2 linked regions of the Drosophila melanogaster genome follow. The protein of the gene in region 2 purifies or fractionates together with the protein of the main gene of each other region. This does not show direct contact. Each region holds a gene or a part of one and is shown on either strand. Other genes may lie near its edges.

The links.
Region 1: the proteins of spri (region 2) and vap purify together in Drosophila melanogaster (affinity purification with western blotting; one study listed by BioGRID). This does not show direct contact.

Annotation. Positions count from the first base shown.
Region 1 is NC_004354.4:15,999,698-16,007,855, forward strand, and holds vap (vacuolar peduncle), read right to left. Parts: upstream 6,116-8,158; 5' UTR 5,288-6,115; intron 4,748-5,287; exon of another isoform or gene 4,631-4,747; intron 4,390-4,630; 5' UTR 4,229-4,389; coding exon 4,018-4,228; intron 3,946-4,017; coding exon 3,832-3,945; intron 3,753-3,831; coding exon 3,680-3,752; intron 3,599-3,679; coding exon 3,189-3,598; intron 3,016-3,188; coding exon 2,166-3,015; intron 2,094-2,165; coding exon 1,187-2,093; intron 1,122-1,186; coding exon 971-1,121; intron 889-970; coding exon 740-888; 3' UTR 254-739; downstream 1-253. Other genes in the region: CG12698 (uncharacterized protein), read left to right, coding at 6,530-6,730, 6,808-6,912, 6,980-7,123, 7,247-7,358, 7,410-7,543, 7,594-7,734, 7,803-7,979.
Region 2 is NC_004354.4:10,582,276-10,587,312, forward strand, and holds the start of spri (sprint), read right to left. Parts: upstream 3,148-5,037; 5' UTR 2,635-3,147; intron 1-2,634. UniProt on the Drosophila melanogaster protein: Potential Ras effector protein. May function as a guanine nucleotide exchange (GEF), by exchanging bound GDP for free GTP.

The sequences.
Region 1 (8,158 bases), 5.4 Mb from region 2:
GAATCAGGTAGTTTTTTTTTTCTTTGAATATGATTTTATACACTTAAAATAAGAAATCAGATGCGAAACTGCAAATATAAACGCAAAACTGTTGTTTCCTTTGAAGAATATATGTATTTATATTAAATTCAGCTGACTATTGACTTTTCCATGCCCATTGCAACGCCTTTAAGTGCGAAGAAATTCGAAAAAAAAACATTTTTCAGCTGCAAGAAACCGAAAGGGAGCCATTCAAAAACACAGTGTATGTTTTCAGAGGAAGTCTTTTGCACTCTTTTTGAATTCTTTAATTTATTTCGATTTTATGCGTTATTTCAAAAAAAAATGTATTGACTTTTGGATAAATGCCGTGCATTTGGACGCCAACTGCCATTTGACGTTGGTAATGCACTAATAAATTTTAAACAATATCGAAAGCAAAACCATTTTGAATATCTGAGTTTGCGGCTATACGGAGTAATCCGTGTAAGCTAGTGTATTATAGGTTATTTTTAATTTGTAATAATAATAATAAATAAATGCATACCGGTCTGTTAAATATTATTTCATTTCCATATAAATAATTTTATAAATGAGATGCTGTTTACTATTCCAATACAATTCAACCAGTTATTTTGAGTTCTTATTTTATGTATTCTAATAGTATACACATATAAATATTTTTATAAAAAGGTATGAAGGGACTTGTAGATAAGAAGACATCGCTTTTTTTTATTATCCGCTCTCCTCGCAATTGATTTTAGCTGATCATCTCGCGATACTTCAGCTTGTGTTTGGTCAGCATGTCCGTCACTGTGACCAGCTTCTTAATTGAAAGTATGTTGGATAGCTCGTGCAGTTCTTGCGAATGAGATACGCAGATGTGATGCAAGGTAGCCAGCTCGCGTCCTGCAGGAATTATAAAAGAAATCATTGTATATTTAATAATATAACAGCGCCAAATAGAAAACATGAGCTGACAAATAATTACCAGTGTCTTGTGAATTCAGATTTGTACTTTGTTCGACAAACATTCCAAGCGGTTGGTTCGGATCGTTCACCGAGGACAGTTGATCCAAGAAAACAATCATACGCTCCTTGTTCTTCAAGATAAACGGATTGACAACCTCCATGTATTGTTCCTAAAAATGAAAAAGAAATCGAATTTATTTTGGTAATCACATAACTGAGTCGAATCGATACGCACCTTGCCGCCGAATTCAATCAAGTTGGCCAGATTCTGCAGACACTTGGCGACCATGACCAAAGATCGTGTTGCTGCCATCGGTGGCGTCTCGCTGACCAATCCAAATTGGCGTGGATTGAGCAGCGCTGGGCACAGAAGGCGCAAGAATATAAAGCCAGAGACGACGCGTGTGCGAACGAGCCGCTCTGTCGGCCATTTGGCCATCACAGCCTTCTGAAGACAGCTGCAAATGAAACGCACGTTGCGTGGACAGGCGTCCGGTGAAGTGAATATCGACTGGGTGACCAGATCGAGGATTTGCAATAGAAACTCGGCATTCGTACAGGCATCATCGTTGACGTCCATTTTCGTGGGATTCAATTCAGCCGACTGCTTGCTCTCCAAAATGCGCTGCACGGTTTCGCTGACGGCCGATTGCAGGAAGCCGCTGCATTCGGTGCGCATATATAGATCCATTAGGGTGGTGGCCAAGGATGCGCCACGGAAAAGCGTTGTGGTTTCGTTTTCGCGCGTCACCTCCGCTTGGCACAGCATTCGAATTAGTTCCGTTTCCCGTTTCTCCTGCCTAAAGACTCGCAACAGAGCCGTGGCCAAAGGAACCCGATCATTATGGCACAATTCAGCCAGCGCCTTCACAGCATACAGCTCCGATTCGAGGAGCAATTGCTGCAGAGGACTGTACTCTTCACACGGCATTATCAGATCGTCGAGGTAGCGCATACGCAATCGTAGCGAGCCCCATTCACCCATCGGCGTCATGCCAGTGAGTTGGTACCAGCCCTCGGTTTCCTGGCCATTCTTTAGACTAGACAAGTCAATGGTTAGCTCAGCCACTTCGGAGTCCTTACCGCGTTTGCCGCGCGATATTAATGTTATGGTTAGGGAGACAACATCTGGCGGAACATCGCTGCAAGCAAGCAAGTTACAAACATATATTATTCGATAAGTTATCAAATAGGCGAAGGAATGGTAGACTTACTCTAGCACAAACTCCTCTTCCCAAACGGGTTCGGGTGCAATTTTGACACGAGTTTTGCCCACTTTGACTTGATTGAGGGAAATACTGCAGTATGGATGTGGCACTAGTTTAAATGGTAATCGATGAGCTTCCAGCACATGCAGATTAAGACAACGAAGCTCACGAAGGCGTGATACCTTCTTCTGGGCACGACTCAGCTGGGAATCGCATTGTGCCTTGAGCGAATTAATCCACTCCACGTAGCTTTCCTGACTAGGAGCACACAGATACGTCACTGTGGCCAAGCATGGCAGGGCCCTTTCGACAATTTGGAAGCAATAGGGACGCTCCCACAGCGAATCGTGACATTGATAGAGGTAAGCACAGGACAAATCGATCAGACCCTTCGGTTTGGTCTTCTTCGGATTGTCGTAGAAGCATAGTTGCGTCTCGGAACCATCGTTGATTAAAGCGAAATAGAGTTGCTTCCATTTCGTCGTTTTGTCCGACTTCTTGTTCAAATGGCCGTGATGTTTGATTCCCTTGATCTTTTTGAGACCGATTTGGTCACGACACTCGCGCAATGTTGCGTAGATCTTTTCAGCGGCCTTTTCCACAACATATTGCTGATTGAACTCGGGCTGAATGCCATTGACAACTGGATGGTTCAGTGAGTGGCCCTCCACAATTTGCTCTTTGCGATATCGATTTATAACCGCATCCAAGCATTCGAATGTACGACCGCCCATTAAATAGCGCACGCCTTTCTTTTCAATACGAAAGCGTTGGATTTGATTGTTTATATGAAAGAATAGAGAGTAATCCCCCGGTGAGTTGTCACTTGGGCGAACGAGGAAACTTCCTGGTCCAGCTGTTAGGATGAAAAAATGTGTTTCAATTACATACATATAGCAACAGAGAAAAGTCGAAAATATCGATTGTAGGCGTCACTAGAAGAAGCTCAAAATTCTAAGGATTCATCTCGTGAATCTCGGGAAAGCTTGCTTTCCTTACTTGTAGGTACCTTAAACTAATAATACACACCTTTAACCAACATATCGACGGCTTCGTTTTTGGTGCAGTTGGGATGGAACCAGGGAAACACCGTATTTGGATCGATAGATACATCCAGATCGTCAACAAGTTCTCTGAATATCATTCCCTGCTCGCCCGTACGATGGGCAGTCACCCACAACCAGCCATCGCCCATGTCATTGTGTACAAAAAAGATATCACCTTTCTGGAAACTCAGTTCATCGGTCTCTGGCATTTTTGTGTAAGGCAGGATGGCTACGACGCGTTTCTTATCATTAACTGGCTCCGGCGGAGCAACTGGTATGGCCAAGCGTTCGCGTTTCAGTAGATCACTACATGAGGTATAGTAACCAACCAAGTCGCTTAAGGAAATGAATTGTCGTCCTCCGATATAGAAGTCTCCGCACACAGCTGTAATCCTATGTTAACGATACAACATACATATATAAAAAATCATTCAAAACAATGGCATTTAATGGGTATCTTAACCTATTACTTACCGAAAATGATTTATGCCGGTGCGGCCATAATAACTCAGAACATAGGAGCCAGGTTTGCGGTCACTTTCGCGAACTGCTCAGCATTAAAAAAAGAACACAAAGGTATTTATTTAGTAATACTTTCTCACCTTCGAATACCATCTTATACACACCTAAATAGCTGCCCAGTTTACTGCTTCCGCGTAGGCGAGACTCTGCAGAGTAGCGATCGAGTCGTCCATGGTACCATTCGCTTTCCGGAGGAGCAATAATCGCTGGACGTTCACCTGCGTTTGGAGTTTGCAAGGAAAATTAGTTATCGATCGAACTACAATGTATGGGCATGTAACTTTACTTACCATTCAGCATATGTGGTCCATCGAATTCATCGTGATCCAATTCCTGAGCCAAGTCACCCAAGTCGATGCCGCCAGGTGCCATTATGCCACCCAATCCGGTCATGCCACCCAGCCCCGCAAGATTCCCATCATCCGAACAGCCCGTTGGCGATCCGGGCTTATCTTTCTGGATGACAACATCAATGTTTCCCAAATGTATTAGGTCCGCCATTGTTAGGCTTATGATCTCTGTTCAGCAAATGCGAGTCTTAGTCTATATTTAACTTCGAGTGGAATTCGATTTAATAAAAGCCACATATAGCAATGATAAGAATGCGTTTAACTGAGGAGATACGTTAACTTTTGTGACTGTGTGGGGTTTTCCGTGCTAAACTGTAAGAAGACCAGATAAAAACACTTAGCTGCCTTACTTTGATTACAATACGAAAATCATATTTGATAAAAATCAGAAATCAGATTAGAGAGTCACTAATAGAATCAAATGCTTAACTAAACCAAGATATGTCTAAAACCATTCACTAAAAACGCCCCGAGAGATTTGTTAGTTCTAGTTTCCGCTTTCTAATGCTATTAAATATAGATAATGGAAAATAATTCGGAATTCGGGGCTTACCGTGAAATCATTTTCTTTGCCATATCGGTGGTGGTAATCTCACAAAAACAAATTGGAATAGATTCGCTATAAGTGTCCAAAACAAAATTCGGGTCCAATGTTACGAAAGTTGAGGATCTAACAAATAATTTAACAACGTATGCAAAATTGTGGGGCAAGAATACATCACACCTACACTAAATACGATTAAACCTAAGCCTATTGGTAAAACAAGAAATTTACTAATAGGCGCTATTACAACCGATTACAACCAGCACCAGAAACCGGGTTTATTAATTAGAATATAGAGACAATGCTACTTTATATCCAAAACCATATTTAAAAGCAATTAACGACGTAGACTTCGCAGTAAACTAAATGAAAGATAAGATGGACAGCACATCCATCAGCTGTTTGCGCTTTGTTTACTTTTACAGATAACAAATCAATTGTGATTGTTTCAGTCAGTAATATAGGAGTGTAGTGAACCCACAGCTTAGACAACAAAAAACCATACAACTTTAAGATCTTTAAGTTGTTTCTTCTATAAAGATTTTCATCTTAGAATCTGTATATTGATTCTATACGTTTTCAATGTGTATGGATAAGGAAAATTGTCTATTCCATTTCTTTGATATTTTAAACGGTTTTTCATCGAATTATTAAATAAACATTTACCTCTGGACGAATTAAGCTGTGAGCCACTGTACATATGTACATATTGCTCTTTGAAATCGCCGGGCGACTGACTTTCTTACATATGCGCAGACATTTTTAGGATATTTCGAGTTGTATGAAAGTACAAGTTACTTATGAATTGTAACACCGTATATATACTTTATGTACATTGGTATATATATAGGAATATGCTGCACCCTCTTGTACATCAACATCTATCTAAAACACAAGCGATTTATATGAGCCGCACACCACACACAAACTTTAGGCTAAGCCCTTTTTGCCAAACGAGCCGAACACAAAAAAATTCATTCGGTTCTTTTCTTCATACATACACGACCCGAAGAGTCATCATATCATCATCATCATCAACACCATCTCATCATCATCAACATCGTCATCACCGTCGCCGTCTTTATCATACTCCTCTCAAGCGGGGTAATTACTGCCCATTTGATTCACAATTTCTGGGCTGTGTTCGGTTTGTGATTCCTTTGTAAATGAATCATTAGCACAACCATTTAATTCTCTCTCATATGGGTAACAAAAAATACAAAAAAAAAAAAAATAAAACCATTTACACAGAACATTAATCGGTTAATGCGCATGTGTAAATATTTTCCTCTATATACTTTACATTGCACTGCAGCACCGAGCTAAAAAAACAAATCGCGCTGCTGGGAATTGCCGTCTTTTATTTGCTCAACTTGTGTTATTCATAACAATTGCATATTTAAAACGAACTAAAATTTCTTCCGTACCGATAGCCACAGAATTCAATTGTGCGCAGTGTGAACGTAGTGAATCATCGAAATATACCACACACCCAACTTATCGGACGAATGTATGTGCGTCAAGATAGCGCCAGAGAGTACAGCTCGAATAAGAAATCGATTATAAACGATAAGCCAATTTAAGATATAATATTTTAAAGAAAAAACAAACGCAAATAATATTTATTCAGCATTTGAATGTACATTTCTTAAATGAAAAGCTAATATGTGTTGAAATTACAAAAGATGATTTAAACACTTTGAAAATAACACATGTTTTTTGTGCGCACGAAAACCGTTAGCCGTCAAAATCTGAAATGGGGTAAAATTAAGTTTATATATTTTCATATTTTCAAGCTTATTTAGACAGCAGGCGGCAGCCCGAATCTTTGTCATTCGAATACTATTATATGGACACAATACTCTGAACTGAACAGTTCGACATCAGTGGGATTTAGAAGGCATAATCATGTCCAAGCGCCAACGCGATGTTCACGATGGCGCTGGAAAGAAAATAGCCAAGATTCGGTTTAAGAAGCTCATCCGATCCGTGATACTGAATATGCAGTGGCTAAGTGAGCTGCCCGAGGAGGGTGGAATATCGCTGAATGTGAAGAAGAACGTTGCCATGCTGCGACAGAAGCGCAAAGTGGGCATGATGACCATGGCCGTAAGTCCAACGAACCTCTTCTTTCATATCAAGGCTAGCTCAAGAGTTTATTCCTTTTTGTGTTTGCTTAATTGCAGGAGAAATCGCTGCTGCGCACTCCACATGCTAAGCGTTCCGTCGATGAGAGGAAAAAGCTCTGCACCATTGTGGCAAATCTGGCTTGCTTTTCAAAATTTCCGCCAGTGAGTAGCGCGCTGATCATTTGTACATATGTATAATATTACTTATCCGACCTGTTACCCCTTTTAGAAAGTCCGCGCCCGTCTTGTTCCGATTGTCAAATTCATGGCAATATCTCCCGGGCGTATTGTTATGAAGGAGGAGGATTTTCCCGTAACCATTTATTTTATAATCGCCGGTGAGGTGGAAATGTCTAAGAACATATATAAAAAGGTAAACTATTCAAATTATATATAATACTTTCTAATATGCTTTGCATAGTTATAGCTACAATTTTTCAATTATGCCTTATTAAATATATATGCTTTTTTATTTGAAAAATGGTATATTTCTTAGGGCTCCAGTCGTCCTACCGTACAAACGGAGGCCATTTTTGGACCCGGGGATTGCATTGGTGATATTGACGTGATGGAAGATACACCCAGAACCAACACTTATATCGCCACAAGTAAATCGATTCGTTTGTTTCTTGACACCTAATCGCATTTGATTCTTTCAGCTTATTGCGAACTCCTGGCTATATTCAATACGAACTATAAAATTGTTCTTCTACCGTTTATGCAAAAGATGTGGCAGGAAAAGAAGGATGCTCTGCGGGCCCTTGACTATTTTGACTTTCTCAACGAAGAACAGGTAAGTATAATAGTAGATAAAAAGAAATTATAATATAACTTGTTTGTAAGATTGTAAATGCCAGTAAGTATGGAACAATTCAGCAATTCGAGCCCTTGGAGACGATCTACACCGAAGACTTGGGTACCATGAGCTATGTCTATTTTGTCCTTAGCGGGGAATGCGTGGTGCTACAATGCCTTCACATGAAGGTGTGCTATCTGCTAGAAATCTCGAATTTGACAGAAATATGCATATAGTATCGTTTTATCCATCACAGGTCAATATGGTGAACCGGGAAAAGGTGTTCCAGCTGCCAAACATTTATAATCTCAAAACTGGACCTCTCCTGGATGATGACACAGGTCCAAACGATAACGAGCCGCTCTTTGATATTAACGAGTACGTGCAATCCACCTCATCGCTGGATGAAAACGAACAGAGCAAGAAAAGGAAGGTGAGCTCTAAATTAAGTATCAGTATCATAAAATGAAAAAAATTCGCGACACGTTCACCATATACAATCATTTTTGTATATAACTTTGTATACAAGTTATATATCCCTTTTTCGCATCCAGATACGGAATCTGTGCATCGTTATCAACCAAATCGTTTGGATCTTAACAATTCAATTTC
Region 2 (5,037 bases):
AGATTAAGACTTATTAAGGGAGCTCGAGCTTGGTAGTCGACATCAGATCGCTGGGAATGCCGACGCGAAAAATGAAAAGAAGCGAACAACTCTGATGGAGAAATGTGGCATGTTGCATGTAGCATGTGTAGTATGTAGTATGTAGTATGTGGCATGTCGCGTGGGGTGACATGTTGCCCGATCTGCCGTCTGCCACAAAAACACGTGCACTCACTCGCAAATACTCATATATATGTACAAAGATATGTATAAAGATATAGGAGCCCAGATACAGATACTGTGCCACTTGAATTGAGGCAGGTTCAGCCCGCCGCACACTCATGGCCAATATTTGCCAGCAAATATGGTCGAAATCTATATTTAGACACTTACGAACCGCGAATCAACTGATCGATTCCCATCCAACGATCTCGATCTCCCTTCCCAATAATAAAAACAGAGAGAAGACAGAAAACCGGAGCGTATCGCTGTTAACTGGCTTTCTATTGGAACAGTTGGGCGCAGCGGTTAGCTGTTGATAGCCGAAAGCAAAACAAAGTCGAAACAAAAACAAGAGTGCGACTTTCAGACCTCGAGACTCTTGGCCAACTATTTTGGCTGCCGCTGCGCCCACATGGTAGCTCAACTGGTGCTAAAAAGTGATCGCCAAAAAATGATCGCACCGCCAATGCAGCGCATTAGTCAAAGCTGACTTTTTTGGCAATTTTTTTTTTTTTTGGTATTTTGTTATTTAATCTCTGTTTTTTTTTTCTTGCCATCGAATAATTTTAACTCGACATTGCGGCATTTCGTGTGTGGGTGAGAAAAGTTTGGTGGGGAATTTAGCTGAGATCATTCAGTAGGGCTAAGGACTTATAAGCATAGTCAATAATCATCGGAAATTATAGCGATTTTATTTGAGTGTGATCATCTATCAGTCAATGAATTGGTATTCACAGAGATCACTTGATAATCATGAGTTGTATCCATTAAGTGGACAAATTAGTTAGTTCAGTGAGTGATATGATATGATAAATTAATTCTAAGAACTACTAAAAAGATATTAACTGGAAAGAGCCCGAAGAAAGGAAATGGTATCCCAAAAATATCTGGGCACATACGTTTGTATGTATATGATGGGATCGCAACGATTCCTACGTGTATTTAAATGACCATCGCGATAAGCCAAAAAAGCCAAAATATACGAGTGGGATTAGTGGGCATATACAGATGCGATGTTCCCATGCTGAGCGACGAGGATCATTAGCGAAGTAAACCACTGACGATCGCTATCATAATACTGGCATGGCAAACATACGTACGTACAGAGATACCTGGCTGACTGACTGACCAGCGAAAGCAACCCATTGATAAGACCGCTACAGTGGACTATCTAAACCTAATAGCTGTGACAACCGCAAATTGCATGAGGAATACCATATCGACCGGAGGGGTAGTACCGCAGGGTAGGGGAATGTACAGGTAGTGGGACACAGGTAATGACAATAAACATTCTCCACTTATCAGCAATCCGCTGATGCACGCACACAGAGCGAAAATTAGGGCACGTTTCACGCACACCACGGTTTTGGATATTATGTTAGATAATATAGATTATAATTGTTATACCATTTTGCTCTATTTATATATTTTTATATCTTAAGAATGCCTAATTAGTCAATAGTAATAGTAGACCTTGTTTGCTCTGTGCACTTGTGGTTAAGGAAATATTGAGATGATGTTGCGGTTTTGGTTTAGACTTGGAGCTCAGACTTAAGTTTTGGGTTTTTGCCTTTTGATTTTTCGTTTTTTTTTTTTGGCATGCGATAAGACTCGAGACAAAGCCAATTTCCCGCCGATTTCATTGGAAAGATATGGAGTATAGGGGGTTATACATATGTGCTAGCAACAGCTGATTAGCCATTTGAGCAATTTGCAGCACAATCCGTACACATTATCAAAATTTGAGCCGTTTATCATCAGGTGCGTGAAAGCAAGAGGGCGGTGCCCGATGAGGTGAGGAAATGACAACGGCGACAGGAATGCGAATGCGAATATACGAATGCGAATGCGATTGTATGTATGAATGGTATGTAGATGTACGATGGGTATATATGGTAGGTGCTATAAGGTGGCCTGCGAATACCTGGCCGATTAGCAATCCACTGTCAAAATGCATTGAAAGCGAAAGACGACACTAAAGGAAACAGGGACCAAGGGTGCAATGTACCGAGTGTGTAAACCGAAGAGAACCAGGCACAATGTAAAGAAATCCAACGCACTTTTGGCGAGAAAGACAAAAGAGCTTTTCACTCAGAAAAAAAAAAGAATAGTTGTACAGCAGTAATTATTACTATTTATTTAAAGTTAGGTTTTAATCTTTTTCCAAAGATATTGTACAAAGATTTAGTATGATAACCCAAACTGGGAGCAATTAATGGCCAATCCAAATTCACCATCTCGAGTGTGCACTGTATTTTCTTCGAGTGAAAGAAGGGCAAGCGATCAAGAGAGATAGAGTGAGAAGAGAGAGCGGGTGGAAGAGCGAAAAAAGGAGTCCGCGTGGTCGGTGAACTTGAACTTGTGAAAGGATGGGGGAACTACCGGTAAGTGGCTTTATGGATGGGCTACGATCATCACTTTCAATTAAATTACCAGGGGAACGCCAATGCCGCCAAAAGTCGCAACCCGGGAGCCTAGGAACTGGGAATCTCTAGTTCTGAAGATCTCAAGATCTCTGGAACCTGCTCCAATTTTTGTGCGCACTCGCACTCACTCGCCGACAAACTTCACTTCACTTTTCGCACTTAACTCGGCTGCTGTTGTTGTTGTTGTTACAAAACAATTAAATATAAATAACAACGTTGTAGCGCAAATAAAAAAAATTAAACAAAAAAAAATAAATAAAGACCGGGGGAAAAATATAAAAAAAAAGATGTGTATTTAATTGAGCGCGACACGCAGTGATCTTGTGCGACACAATATTATTTTACTTGAGTTGCAGCACAATTTCAATTCTCGCGATCGCCTTACGACTACGGGACTACGGCTTTACGGATTCCGAAGATTACGGGTTCAATTTCTTCTCCACAATTCTCCTTCAGCGAACGAACGAACGAACAACCGACCGACCGACCGACCGTTTGTGGCCGAGTGCGAACTCGAACTAAACTGAACTGAACTGAAGCCGCCGACAAAACGAAGATCGTCGCCGGCAGCAACAACTCGCTGCGATAATAGCAGCAGCAACAACAACAGCAACAACACAAGCAAAATTACGAGATGCGAAACGATGGCGCACAGTGGTCACACTCCTACTGAAAACTCTCCATTCAGTTGATGGATAATGTTAAAAGTTCTTTGCGCCACAAGATATGTATATGAATCTAAACTATTTATCAATAATAAAAGTATATTAAGAGGTATTTTTAACTTAACAGCACAATGGTCGAAGAGTTAAGGAAAGTTGTATCATATGTTTACAGAACATGTTAACAGCACTTTACTCCACAAGATATATGAAACCATGGAGTAATAGCTTAATAGTTAAACTATATTAAAAAAGAACTTAAACTTAACTCTATTGTGGTCACATGTCAGTCATAAGATCTTACATTTTTCAATATATTAATTACAACCATTTACCCAACCATACTAATTTATGAAAGTATAATATCAAAACTATAATATAATGTATTAAGCAAACTTTACGCTTACTCATAGATCATTGTTGTCACTGTGGTTAACATAGGTTGTAAGGAAGATAGCAAAGTTTTTAACTTTGTTAAAGAAATATTTAATATTAAAGTTTATTCTTCTGCTACTAAGTCAACTTACTGTATTAAAAGTTTCCTAAACTATTCTTTCCGTAAATTAACAATGTTTTAAAATGGAAATTACTATGAATGCAATGGATTGTTATATTGGTGTTTTACGGTTACAAAATTTTCTTTAAAAAAGCGCGGAGTTGGCAAAAAATAAATATTGCTCACCAAAGTGAATTATTAAACGGCAGGTGCTGATTTACTTTCGATTTTGGAAAAGGTGCTTGTAATTATCAAAAATTTATGCTGTCCCAATTTAATTAAACGTGTAATGCAAAATAAGCTTATATTGTTTAAAACAAGTTATAGCTGAAAGCCAAAGCTATGGCACATGGAAATCTAAAATGGTTGTTTTGCAATATATCAGTAATATTTTTTCACATGGTACTGCTGACCAAATCAATATTTCTTGCTGTAAAATGAGACTTTTAATTGTCGGAAAATTATGACACCCATAAATTTTAATTAGCAATCTGTTCTTTTTGTCTTTCGTTGTTTGGTTTTAGCTGGAAATTGAATGCACAGACTTTGGTTCACAATCTTAACAGATTCTCTTGAAAATTATCTTTTATCAGTTTTACTATCGTATATGAATAAGTATTTATATTAAAAGATATATTATTGTGCTTAACCCGGTTATATCTTGTTAAGAGGGCGACGTGTTTGTTTCGCTTGATTTGCAGCTTTGTTTGCTATGTGATCGCATTTTTTGCTCGCACTTATTAATTTTTTTTTTTTACAATTCACCTTGTATTGCCAGCCACAAACAATTTGAAAACGCGAAAACTGTCGATGACCGATAAGCAATTGTCGATTACCGATTAGCGTTTTGACTTCTGGAATTGGAAAGAAGCTTCTGATTTCTGATTTTTCACCTTTTTTTTAGCCCTTCCATTTCGAAATTCAGGTTTTCTTGACAGACCCCCATACCCGCCCCATTTGTCGTGTTGTTCTTCTTGTTGTTGTAAAGTGCCATTGTGTCGTGTCGTCGATCTCATTCGCAAATTATCTTTGTTTGCGAAATTGTAATTGTTTTTGCCGTGCACAATTCAGCAAGAAACCGAAGAAAAGGGCTGGTCTCGAAGTCACATTACCCTCTGATAGTTATTATTCCTTCACCTGCGATCTTGACCATCTCAAAAATTAAAAAAAAAAAAAAATGGTAAATAAATATATGAAAATTCATAACTAGATAAATTATAACTTTATAATAAATTATAACAGGTCGGAAAAA